3 linked regions of the Nothobranchius furzeri genome follow. The protein of the gene in region 3 purifies or fractionates together with the protein of the main gene of each other region. This does not show direct contact. Links are inferred from orthologs where the notes say so. Each region holds a gene or a part of one and is shown on either strand. Other genes may lie near its edges.

Evidence for each region.
Region 1: the proteins of vamp8 (region 3) and stx12 purify together in Homo sapiens (affinity purification with mass spectrometry; 3 studies listed by BioGRID and IntAct, counting the BioPlex papers as one, with this or other methods). This does not show direct contact. The link is inferred for Nothobranchius furzeri from reciprocal best matches to the Homo sapiens genes VAMP8 and STX12.
Region 2: the proteins of vamp8 (region 3) and synaptosomal-associated protein 23 purify together in Homo sapiens (affinity purification with western blotting; 3 studies listed by BioGRID and IntAct, with this or other methods). This does not show direct contact. The link is inferred for Nothobranchius furzeri from reciprocal best matches to the Homo sapiens genes VAMP8 and SNAP23.

What each region holds. Positions count from the first base shown.
Region 1 is NC_091751.1:25,527,640-25,531,394, reverse strand, and holds the start of stx12 (syntaxin-12), read left to right. Parts: upstream 1-975; 5' UTR 976-1,097; intron 1,098-1,172; exon of another isoform or gene 1,173-1,300; intron 1,301-1,640; 5' UTR 1,641-1,681; coding exon 1,682-1,775; intron 1,776-3,755. UniProt on the Homo sapiens protein: SNARE promoting fusion of transport vesicles with target membranes. Together with SNARE STX6, promotes movement of vesicles from endosomes to the cell membrane, and may therefore function in the endocytic recycling pathway.
Region 2 is NC_091758.1:23,386,083-23,389,837, reverse strand, and holds the start of synaptosomal-associated protein 23, read right to left. Parts: upstream 2,346-3,755; 5' UTR 2,127-2,345; coding exon 2,119-2,126; intron 1-2,118. UniProt on the Homo sapiens protein: Essential component of the high affinity receptor for the general membrane fusion machinery and an important regulator of transport vesicle docking and fusion.
Region 3 is NC_091757.1:27,703,393-27,707,147, forward strand, and holds the start of vamp8 (vesicle-associated membrane protein 8), read left to right. Parts: upstream 1-1,238; 5' UTR 1,239-1,424; coding exon 1,425-1,439; intron 1,440-3,755. UniProt on the Homo sapiens protein: SNAREs, soluble N-ethylmaleimide-sensitive factor-attachment protein receptors, are essential proteins for fusion of cellular membranes.

The sequences.
Region 1 (3,755 bases), on a different chromosome or scaffold from region 3:
CACAGACCATACAATCAAACATCATCTTATCTGCAACAGCCAGACCTCCAACTATTTCTGGGATTCCAATCACAGATAAGAAATTTAATAATTCTGTTATTAGAAAAGTAATTGATCCTGTCTCAACCCCGATATGTAAACACTGATGGACTTTTATGAATACAAAACTCTGGAACAGGATCTTTCTGCTACCTCACCAATATGTTATTGTGAATAAGATAAAAGAAATTTGATTCAAAATTGTTCATAGATATTACCCGTCAAAAGCAAACATCTGTATTTTTTTCCAAATGTTTCTGACATATGTACTTTCTGTGGTTGTAAGGGAGAAACTATTGAACATGTTTTTGTTGATTGCTTTCATGTAACTTTGTTTTGGTTCCATTTAAAAAGATACATTTCCAAAAAGTTACAAAAAAAATATTTCTTTAAGCAAATATGAAATACTTCTTATTGTTACTAACCCTCATTTATCATCCAATGAAAAATACATAATTAACTTAGTCATTATTTTAGCAAAATATTATTTACATAAAATGATTTTTCAGAAAAGTATCCCCTTCTATAATTTCAGAATTACAGACCTTATGAAATATTGGAACAGCATTGAAAAATTAAAAATGAAGAACAACAAACTAACAAAGACCATCAACTTATTTCATCATTTCAACTTAGACACAGCAGACCCCTAAGTGTTATGTTTCTAAGTTATATATGTTTTCGTCAGTTTTTTTTATTTCTTGGTTTTTTGTTTAATAGTTTCCTAATGTTGCATGTATATTATTGCAATTCTAAACAACTGTAAAATGTGATCCATGGATTTATTGAATGTGTTTTCTGAATAAAACCTGTAAAAAAAATTAATAAATTAAAAAAACACCACGGACCAGGAAGTAGGTTTGGCTCTCTGACCTATGATTGGAGGCCGTGATAAAATGGGTGGGACGCTGCATTGTGATTGGTTGAGCTGTTGAAGTAGCATCCTGGTATTGGTTGTTAGGGTGTGTTGGTCTGTGAGGTCTTAGCGCTAATGCAATATAGCATCAACCTAACGGAGGACGAGTCATCTACGCCCATGTATCGATTTCAATACATTAGTAAGCAAATTACAGCATGATGCCTTGTTTTAATGTAGAATTTCGTCTTTGTTTTAATTGACCACGCTCTGCGTGTCCAGTTTACGAGCAGTTTTTACTGTAAAAAGACGAAAGTAGACAAGTTCGCCACCGTTAGCCTAAAACGAAGGTTTAGCTTCTCCGTTCTACCAACACAACGCTAGCTGAGCTAAACAGATACGACGGTTTGTTGAAGTGTTCCGTTCCTTATTGTTATTGATTAATTATGGGGTTAATTTAAAGGCGTTTAAACAGCAAACTGGTCTGTTCGCTAACTCGGTGTTCGGACATTTGTTTACATTTACATTTAGTTTAACTGCTTAGCGGTGATAAATAAGTGATAATCTGACTTGATTGGACCTTTGAGCTCATTACTGAAATAATCAAACGTCATTCATACGCGTGACAGAGTCAAAAAGGGAAACGAGTTTAAATCTTTAGACCCTTAAAACTTACTTAAACCATTATGTCGTTAAGCCAAATCGTTCAATAATGCAATGTTTATTGTTCCATTTTCTTTTGCAGTTCCAGTTTAACGTGTCAGGAAGCTCCTAACAGTCGCAAACATGTACGGAAAAGCGGAGTTCCGCCCGGTTCACATGGACTTCAGCTTTCTCATCCAGTCCTGCAGCTCAAACATCCAGAAGATCACACAGAACAGTAAGAGGTTTCTCCTGTTCCTCGCGCTTCAGCCTGGTGGGAAATCACATGCCACATGGTCACGTGATGACCATGTGAATGAGCTTTATAGCCTGTTTGTTATCCCCACGGTATTATCCACTGATCATCATCTCTCCAGGGTCGCACTTCAGTCTTTTTGGCTTCTTTAATGTTATTTCTTCAGAGGTGTGAACAGCAGGTCTCTTGATGAATGATCAGTTTCTCGTTTTACAACAAAATTATTTAATAATAAGGGGGGAGTGAGTATGTAACAGGGTGTGGTGTCACTTAATTATTATTAACAATTACTAATAATTATGAGGGGAATTTTTTTTTGTGTTGTTACTGATGTCTGTTGTCCCTCTGGAGTGCTGCAGGAGTACACACAGGGATTTATGGGGGTTGGATGAGGATAATGAAAGAAAGAAAGTAAATCAGTGTTTTGTGAACTGTTTAATTTGACATAAACATGGCAAACATGCTTTCTTGTCATTGTGTGTGAAAAACAGTGTAGAAATAAAAACAAACGACATGTGTTAATAGAGAAATAGCTGGCAAGCCGTGCTGACGCATGACGCATGCGCCGTGAGCGGTTTTGGTACTTTTTGGGTTGCAGCCACTCGCAGCGCTGCTTCAACCCTCACGAGGGACGAGCAAAATATCAAACATGCCAGAAATCAGTGCGAGCTCACGATTGCTGATAGGTAGCTGGTCACGTGGTGTTAATTGCCTCTCGTAACCACCTGTATACTACACGACGCTCTGCACAAAACTTGCCCCGATCTTGTAGATTCTCGCACGAGGGGAAAATCGGCTCAAAAAAGTGAAAGAGTCGCACAGTGCCCGCCTGGCTTAAAGGAACAAATATGATTTTGTAGTTCAAACAACAATGCTAAATATGTTAATTTACATTTGAGAACATTACCTCATGTCCAGTTGAAACTGGTATTGTTTAATGAGTATTGTATTGGTTTTCTCAATGACAGGAAATTGAAACATTGATATAATTTGCTTTTCGTTAAGACAAAATCGATATCGGCAAGTCAGGTTTTTCTCAAGATCGGTGATTGGCCAAAAACTGCAATCGGTGCACCCCTACTTCTCACTTTTTGCAGGAAAACCTAAGTGATATAAAGCTGATTTCTGTGTTTTAGTTCCGTCAGCGGGCTAGCATGTCCAGCTTTTCTGAGAAAGTACGACTTGAAAATGGAATACTTCCTGAGACCAAATCCATTCATCCCGTTCCATCAGCCATTGTGGGCATAAAAAATAAGTAACATCAAAAGTATTAATGTGCATGGCTCACAAGAATGTGTTTTGCTAGCGACACTTGGTAGAGATAGCTTCTCTCAGACCGTCGGACCAATCGGAGGACAAAAAACCCCTGATGTCACCGTGAGCCAACTACCTGGCTCAGCGATGTGATTCTGAAAGCTCACTGGTTAAAAAAACCAGATCCCATAGTAGAGGTTAACCAATGTTGGATTTTCTATTACTGATGCCGATAAGCAGAGCTAATGGTCAGCTGATGGCCGATATCTAGACATCAGTTGATACACAAAATTTCTGAAGCTAAATCAGTTTTTGAACTTGTAATTTAACCAACTGTTAAACCTTAATTTTGTGCACGGCTCAGTGTTAAAATCAGACATCTAACTCAAGTGAATCAAACAAAATTATTTGTTATGCAGAAGTTACTCAGGAACATAACTCTGCAGCAGCACCAGGCTGCCTGAGGATGTGCCTGACTTTAAATCTGCTTTACTAAGGAGATACTGTATATTGGCATTGGGCGATAAATCACTCTACCACTACTATATGGTATAACTAACAAAGGCCCGTTCTACTGATTCTGAACGCTTTGGGCAGATTGGACTCTCCCTGGCATCAATAGAGGCTGAAATCTGATTGGAAGAAAAATCCAGATGTAGAGGACACGGTGTCGGTACAGGATCGGCTCGGGGTCCTTCGACTGCCGAT
Region 2 (3,755 bases), on a different chromosome or scaffold from region 3:
GTGGCTTCTGACGGCACAAAGTAAAGCTTAAAGCAGTCAGGGCCGAACAGGGAGATGTGTGAGTGAAGAAGAAACTCAAACTGTAAGAAGTTGTTTCCTTAATGTGTTAAACTCCACAGAGACACAATGTCAGGCCTGATTAATGTCGCTGATCAGATTTTGTAAACAAATATGAATAAATAAATCATGTGCAGGTCGTAAAATTTTGACAATGTGATTATTTTCCTTTCTAAAATGAGGTTGTTTTTCCACATTACTGCTGTGCAGCGTCGCTCTTGGTGGCTCCCAAAGTAATAAGTTAATTATTAATGACTTCTGCTCGGTTTGTTTAACTTTGCACACCAGTTTGGGTTATTTTCAGCATTCTGAGCTTTTAATTTCATCAGTTATTCTTTTTGTTTACCCGTTTTCTTCTGTTTTAGAAACAACGACACTAGGAAGTGGAGAAAATGTCCAACATGCATGAGTCTAAATGTTAATTATGCAATCTCAGCTAAACCCATTTAGGCTGGACACTTACGCCAGTTTGGTGACTCAACATGTAGCTGCTGAGCAAATCAGGATAACCGTAACCACTGGCTGACAGCTCAGAGCAGGCTCTGTCCAGATCTGAATTTAAACGCCACCGTCATCAAAAGCTGGTGACTACAGCAGGAACCGTCAACGTCCGGACGTTTCGCACCCTGAATTTAGTTTTCATCTAACAAAAACATGAACGGACTTCATAAAGTCTGAGCAAACATGGAGGATGAAGACAGATGATTAGCATTAGGTGATAGGTGTTGTGTCACTGAGGCCAGGCCCAGAAATGGTATTAATAACTTGGATCACAACAAGAAAAATGACAACAGTTTAAAAGAGACTATCTTTAAGGCTGGAGTGACACATCTGGTGTAGCAGCAGCCTTAAACAGACTTTTTCACATGACACGAGAGCTAGTTTGTCACAGGAAAAGGCTCAAGCCTCTGCTCTCTGACACAGGCATAAACACGGCCCGTTTTTTTATTCCCACCCAAACGTTTTTGATAACATAGAGGAAGTAAAGCTCTATCCGCTTTTCTGTTTCTGCTCTTGTCAGACCGCTTTCCTTTATAGTTCAAGTGACATTTTCCTGTTTTGCAAACGGCCTCTGGACTTCAAGATTCCCTGTTAAAAGCAGGAAAAAAAATGAGACGGAAAAAGTATAGTCTACTTGGCAGATAGTTCGGGGGATTTAATGTTGTTGACTCTGCATTTTTTGTTTTCTTTTTTTATTAGACCACAGCGCAGAAGGTTCACACAACTCGTGACAGTTTTTTTTCTTTCTTCCCAGAGCACTGGTGTGACTTTACAACTCCAACACTAAATTTATTTACACGTACAATACACAAGAGCTGTAAACAACAGAAATGTAACCGGTCAATAGGGTCAGTTTGAGCTGATTGTAAGTTTAGAGACGCACCCCAAAATCAAATCAGTTGATTGGCCGTTGATCTGAAATTTGAAAGATGTATTCTGTAAAATGGGGTTAATTGCAAACTGCCAAAATTTGTATCAGCAGGTCAGAGCTGCATTATCAAAAAATTAAACAAAGCAAATATGGATGATTCTCTAATGATGTTACCCTTTAAATAAATGTGGTCATTTGTCTGCATTCCTATAAATTAATTTAAAACCAGTGAATTTAGAGCACCCCGTAGACCTGCTTGTGCTGTAAATCCAATCAATGAACATTTTCTAGTTGTAACACATTTTAACAGTGATTCTGTGTTTGTTGGCGTTCTAAATAACATTAACTTTTCATGCTCAGTTAGTCAGGAATTAGAAGAAAGTTCAGGTAAAAATGCTTCAGGTGTAGGAAAATTCAAATGATAACGTCCAGCTGATGTATTGCGTACGTTATTGATCGCCATGTTCGTGAAAACTCAGACTCGTGTGTAGATATTGCATAACTCCTTTTAGGGAACTGGTTAAGCACACATCAAGCAGGTATGCTGGATTTATAAAATACTTAATCTAATTAAGTTTTTAATATAATCTAGTTTTAGTGAGGACTATAATATAGACATGAAAATAACCCAGAGACCTGAATTAACAGGCGCACATGTAAAGGTTTATGCAGAAGTTTTAGGGACATACCTGCTCATGTTGTAGACTCCTCACAGCAACAACAGAAAGTGACAAACAACAGAGAAAAGCGTTTCTGGTTATTCTACTCAAACCTGTTCCTCCAGATCTAAACTAATGCTGAACAAAGTGACGTCTTTTCTTATTCTCATCACGTTCACCTCGTATTTTTTATTGCCTTTTTTTTACTCTCTGGTCAACTTTATGCTTACCTTTATAAGAAAACCTTACAAGAAATTTGTTTAATTTGTTTTTATTTCAATAGGTAAATAAACCGAGAACCAGTGTTCAAAAACAAGCTGACCAATGACATCATGGTGTATTTCCATTGCCTGAACCATGACCTTTTATTTCCAGATTTATAGATGACGCTAATAATCCAAAAGTATCAAAACACTGAGTGTGAACTTGACAGCTGGCTATTTATTTCCGCAATATTTAAAATAGGAGCTACTTTGTTTCCACTCCTTTGCCATGACAAAAGGTTATGTCGAAAAGAGCAATACAAAAGTCAAATATTGTAAAACAGTGCACTCACATGACAAGAAAGTATCACCTGAGAAACAGGTGATGTTCAGCTGAAAGAGACATATTAACCAAAACACCTGAGCCTGAAAATAACACACCCACGTTAGCAAAAGTTATGCCCTTAACAATAATCAAAACGTCATAAATAAGTTTAAACAGAGGAAAAATAAAACTTTATGAAGTTTTCTTACATTGTCCAAAAAGTTGCAGTAGCTCCCCAGCTCTAATAAAGGAAATAGATCCTCTGGGCAACTTGTTCACCTAGCTAACGTGCTGTTAGCTTGCTAGTTTTGTTAGTTCCGCTTCCCTGTCAACCCCCTAACGACAACACCCAAACTTTGATGGGAGGACAACGTTAAGAGATACTTATCAGGTCTGTTAATACTTACTGTTAACCTTCCTTGTGAAAAGACCGAACTCGCAACTCCTCCTTTCGCCACGGTATGTAAACTTGGCACTGGTTTGACCAGAATTCCTCCACTGAGTTCGTCGTCTGGGGACTTGAAAGTATGTCGGTTGGTGCATTCATGTACCCTCGGAAATATAGCTTTCTTCAAGGTGAGACGCTTCAGAAGTTCTTAAAAGTAATAAAAACACGTTTAAAATAGTTCAGAAGCTAACTGTGATAATTATAAATCTTTTTTGCGTTCAAAAATTTCACATTATTTTCACTACATCAAAATTCAGTCATATTTGTTTTTTAATAGCTTGTTTATATCTGAAGGTATTTAGTTTTAGCTCTTTAAAAAGAGGAATGAAAATCATATTAAATTCGTTTATTTATAGGAACAAACACTGTATTTAACCAGACTGTGTAAAACTTTTGGTAGTTATGTTTCTTGTGCTTTGGGTGATCTAAAACCAAAACGACGAGTACTTGAATGCAGCACAGGATGGTGCTGTCATAGGACTCCAGAGAGGAGAAAAAAAGAGCACTGCTCAAGTTCCCCACATGAGTGCAGCATTTACCCTTCACCCAGACCCCCCCCCCCCCCCATATTTTACATGAAGACAGAACGCCAGATACATTTTTCTCCATAGAGCTTCTAAGCGATGCTCTGAAATCTGAGCCTCTAGCAATGAATCTGCTGTGTAATTCCCAAGCTTTACGCTTTAAACCA
Region 3 (3,755 bases):
TATTTGGATGTTGTGTTTGCATTAACCCCCCGTCTTGTGTCTTGATTTTTGTAAAGTCCCTTTTATTTTTGTTATGTCCCTTTTGTTTTCACGTATCTATTTTATGTTGTACATAGATGCTGTCATGTTATTCACTAAGCTGTTGGTTTTGGCTGTTGTATTGACGAGACTGTAATCCTCAACGAGAATATGTATCTTGTTCAATTATAAATAAAGAACATGGCGACTGAATGGGGAGTTCGCTGCGGCTCTTTCCTCTGTTCTAGATGACTTTGGCACGTCTTTAAAACAACAAGTAGAAGCACTAAAAGCCTTACTTCTAAGAAAGATGGCGCTGTCGCCAGACGCCATTTTTGACTACAGCTAAAAAACTACTGCATTGCGCGGTACTGTCTGCATTTCTGTCTTTTTTGTGATTGGTGATTTTTGAGCTTCCTAGTCCCGCCCCTCAAGTGCCTCTCTGCCTGTGAGGAACCAGACACTCTCTGCAGGATTAAACAGGACCAGTCTGGCAGGCCAGGCTAAAACCTATGAGGAAAACACACACACAGCACTCACTTATGAGTGTTATTGTCTTGTTTAAAAGCTGAACCACTTTCTATGTAACAACTATTATTACATTATAATAGTTTAGCACAGATGTCTGCTGTGGTGAATAAAAAGTATTTATTTAAAACTTAGGCCTACTGCTAATGTGAATTTGTTATGTTTGAATTGCTCTTATTTTTGCAGACGTTTGTTTAGTTGAGCATCGGATTAAATCACAATCCAACTCTCACCACTGACTCACAAATCAGCAAAGCTTCAGACAAATAAACGGATGAATAAATATTCTATGTGCCCTTGAAAGGTAATTACACTCAGTTTATCAACAGCAGACACAATACAGGAGTACATCTTCTAAATAAAAGCATAGATGTTTCACAATAAAACAAACGATGGCCCAGGTTCATAACAAAATGTATAAACGCAGAAGTAAAAATAGGAAGAGCATTAAATAATTAAATAAATAAAATAATACACAGTTTAAAAAACTTAATTAAAATCCAAGTGATTTGGTTAACACGTTTTATCTCCTGTTTTAAATTATGAAACAAATGTAGTACCGTTTTATTTTATTTAACTTTTCTAACGTAATGCTTGTAAATGTTAATAAACTTACTTTAAACCGTTTAATGAGCTTCACGTTTATCGCTTTAATGAAACCGGATGTGGGTTTGAGCTGAAAACTCGAAGCGAAGGAATTCAGAGTGAAGAGAAAAAAACAGGAAGTGAAACCAAGGAGGAGCGAGTGAGAGAGAGAGAGAGAGAGAGAGAGACACCTGTAGGAGCGTCAAACTTTTAGGTTTTACATCATTTTAAAGGTTTTAAACTAAAGAACCGTGTCTGTGGGTCTTCTGAAGGAGGATCTAGTTTCTGACAGGATGGACGCGGACCCGGTAGGTGATGTTTTTCTTGTTTTGTTGCAGCGACTCCATAACGAGGCGCCATGTAAGGAGCAGGTGTGTTTGTTCAGGTCACATGAAGAAAATGAATAATGTTTGAGTTGAGGGGACACCTGTAACTTACGACCCTGTTTTCCCTGAACAATGGCGTCCACTCGGAAGCTGCTCTGCGGTCCTGCTGTTGGACATTTACTTAAGTTAATGTTTGAAAGTGTGAAGTCGGTGTTTAAATGAGCGTTTTAAACGCTGTTGCAGCTTAAAGCTGTTTGTTAGCTCAAACTTAGCTAGCTAACTTAGCTCAGAGATGCTGTAGCATCTTGTTCCTGCTGGCTGGAGAGGTCAGAGGATCAGATACTTCAGAAGGTGGAAATAATTTGTTTTGGACTGAAACCTTGGTCTGTCCACATACGTTTGGTGTGTTTTCTAAGCAGGCGTGCAAACAACAGATGTAAAAGTAATGTTGTTGCTATTTAAGATAAACTGATCTGTATCATCTTATTTTTTCAGGGCATCATCATTGAGGCACTTGGATTCAATTTCTGTAGTTTTGAACCACTTTAGGACACAAACAAATGTTTTTTTATTCTGGTCAGCTGGATATCTAACGGTGGTTTTTGACTGTTAAATGTTTGTGACCAAGTGAGAAAAGCTTTGCATGCAAATCTGAAGCAGGACTGATCCTCTGCTGCTGCTGGGAACAGAGGTGTTTCAGTCTTTATAATAGAGACAGAACAGATTAAAGCTGAAAGATCAGGATTTACACTCCATTCAAATCTCACATGTGCTCACAGATTAAGGGAATTTCACATTTGACTAGTTAAAGAGTCGGCATTTTAAATGGCTCACTGAGGATATAGGTTACATTTATTTTGCAATCAAATGAAAGTTTTCCTTTAAATTTACCTTTTAAATCATAGAGACCACATCTGTGCCAGCTTTGTAGTTGCCTGCTATCTAATTTTATTTCCTCTTAATCAGGTTTTACTGGAAGACCCAAGTTCGTCTTCATCTGCTTCCTCTCCAGCACATGCTGAGCTCTTTTAAATGAATCCTACCATCTTTATGCAGATGGCATCCAACTGTACATCTCCTTTAAGAACCATGAGATGTCTAAGCTACAGCTGTTAGTGTTTCCCCTAGGGATTTTTCCAGCTGTGGTGGTGGGGGGGGTAATGACACGACTCACCTTTATGTTAATATTGTTTTATTTGATGCACTCCACTTTGAACTACACCAGTACAGCAACTGCTGCATTTTAATGACTAGTATTGAAGGTGAATACCTCTTATTTATTATTGGAAATCCTTACTTTGGTTAAATAAATCAGTTGTTGAACCCCCCACTCCTCTGTTTGGTCTCCTTTCTTATTACAGCCCACCACTTCCAGTCTGGGTTGTAACAATCTGCAGACAGATTTCTGAGCATCTCCTCCTTTGGTACACAGATCCTCACTGAGCCATGTACTGTGAACAAATAGTTTCTCCGTGATATTATCCAGCAAGATCTTGTTTTTGTCAAAACAAGGGTGAGGTAATGAAAAAATAGAAATATTTCAATAAATTAACATTAAAATTATTTATATGCATAATTAAAAAAAAACATGTTTTGAAATATATAAAGTGCACCAAACTTGACTCAGTCCATTCAACAATTCTAAATGGACAATTATGTAACTCATCAATTAATTATTTGAAAGGATAATTTGTCAATTAAATGCTGAAAAAAATAAACAATACATTAATGAGGCAAGAACTTTTTAAACTTGGACATACCTACACCCACAAGTCTATTTTTACCTGGTTAAAACCATCTAGCTTATGTGCACTTTTTAAAACACTGCCCAGCAAACATTCGGACGTTTAATGACAGTTGAACGGTCACAACTGTAAAATAATATCACAGGAATTAGGAAAGAATAACATGACATCAACTCTATGTCCCTTGGCCGGACTCGAACCTGGATCCTCCAGAGTGAGAGTCACCCGCTCTCCCAGCTGAGCCATGACAGCAACTGCTGAATCTCAGATTTTTTTATACAGATAGCTAGAGAGTAAAGTGCGGAGTAAACTAACCAATCAGAGGACAGGGAAGATCTGCCACAGGCCACGCCTCCAGAGTGCCAAAACTCCTCACAGCCGAGCGAGCGGAATTAGAAACCGAGCGCGCAGAGGCTGCCGAGCGCGCAGAGAGGCTGCCGCGCGCGCACGTTTTCCTCTGCCGTGTGCTCGTTGGCAACGCGCGCACGCAGGTTTGTCACTTGTGCACATCCTTGTGCGCTCACAGACACAGTTTGCTCCCTCTCAGTGCACA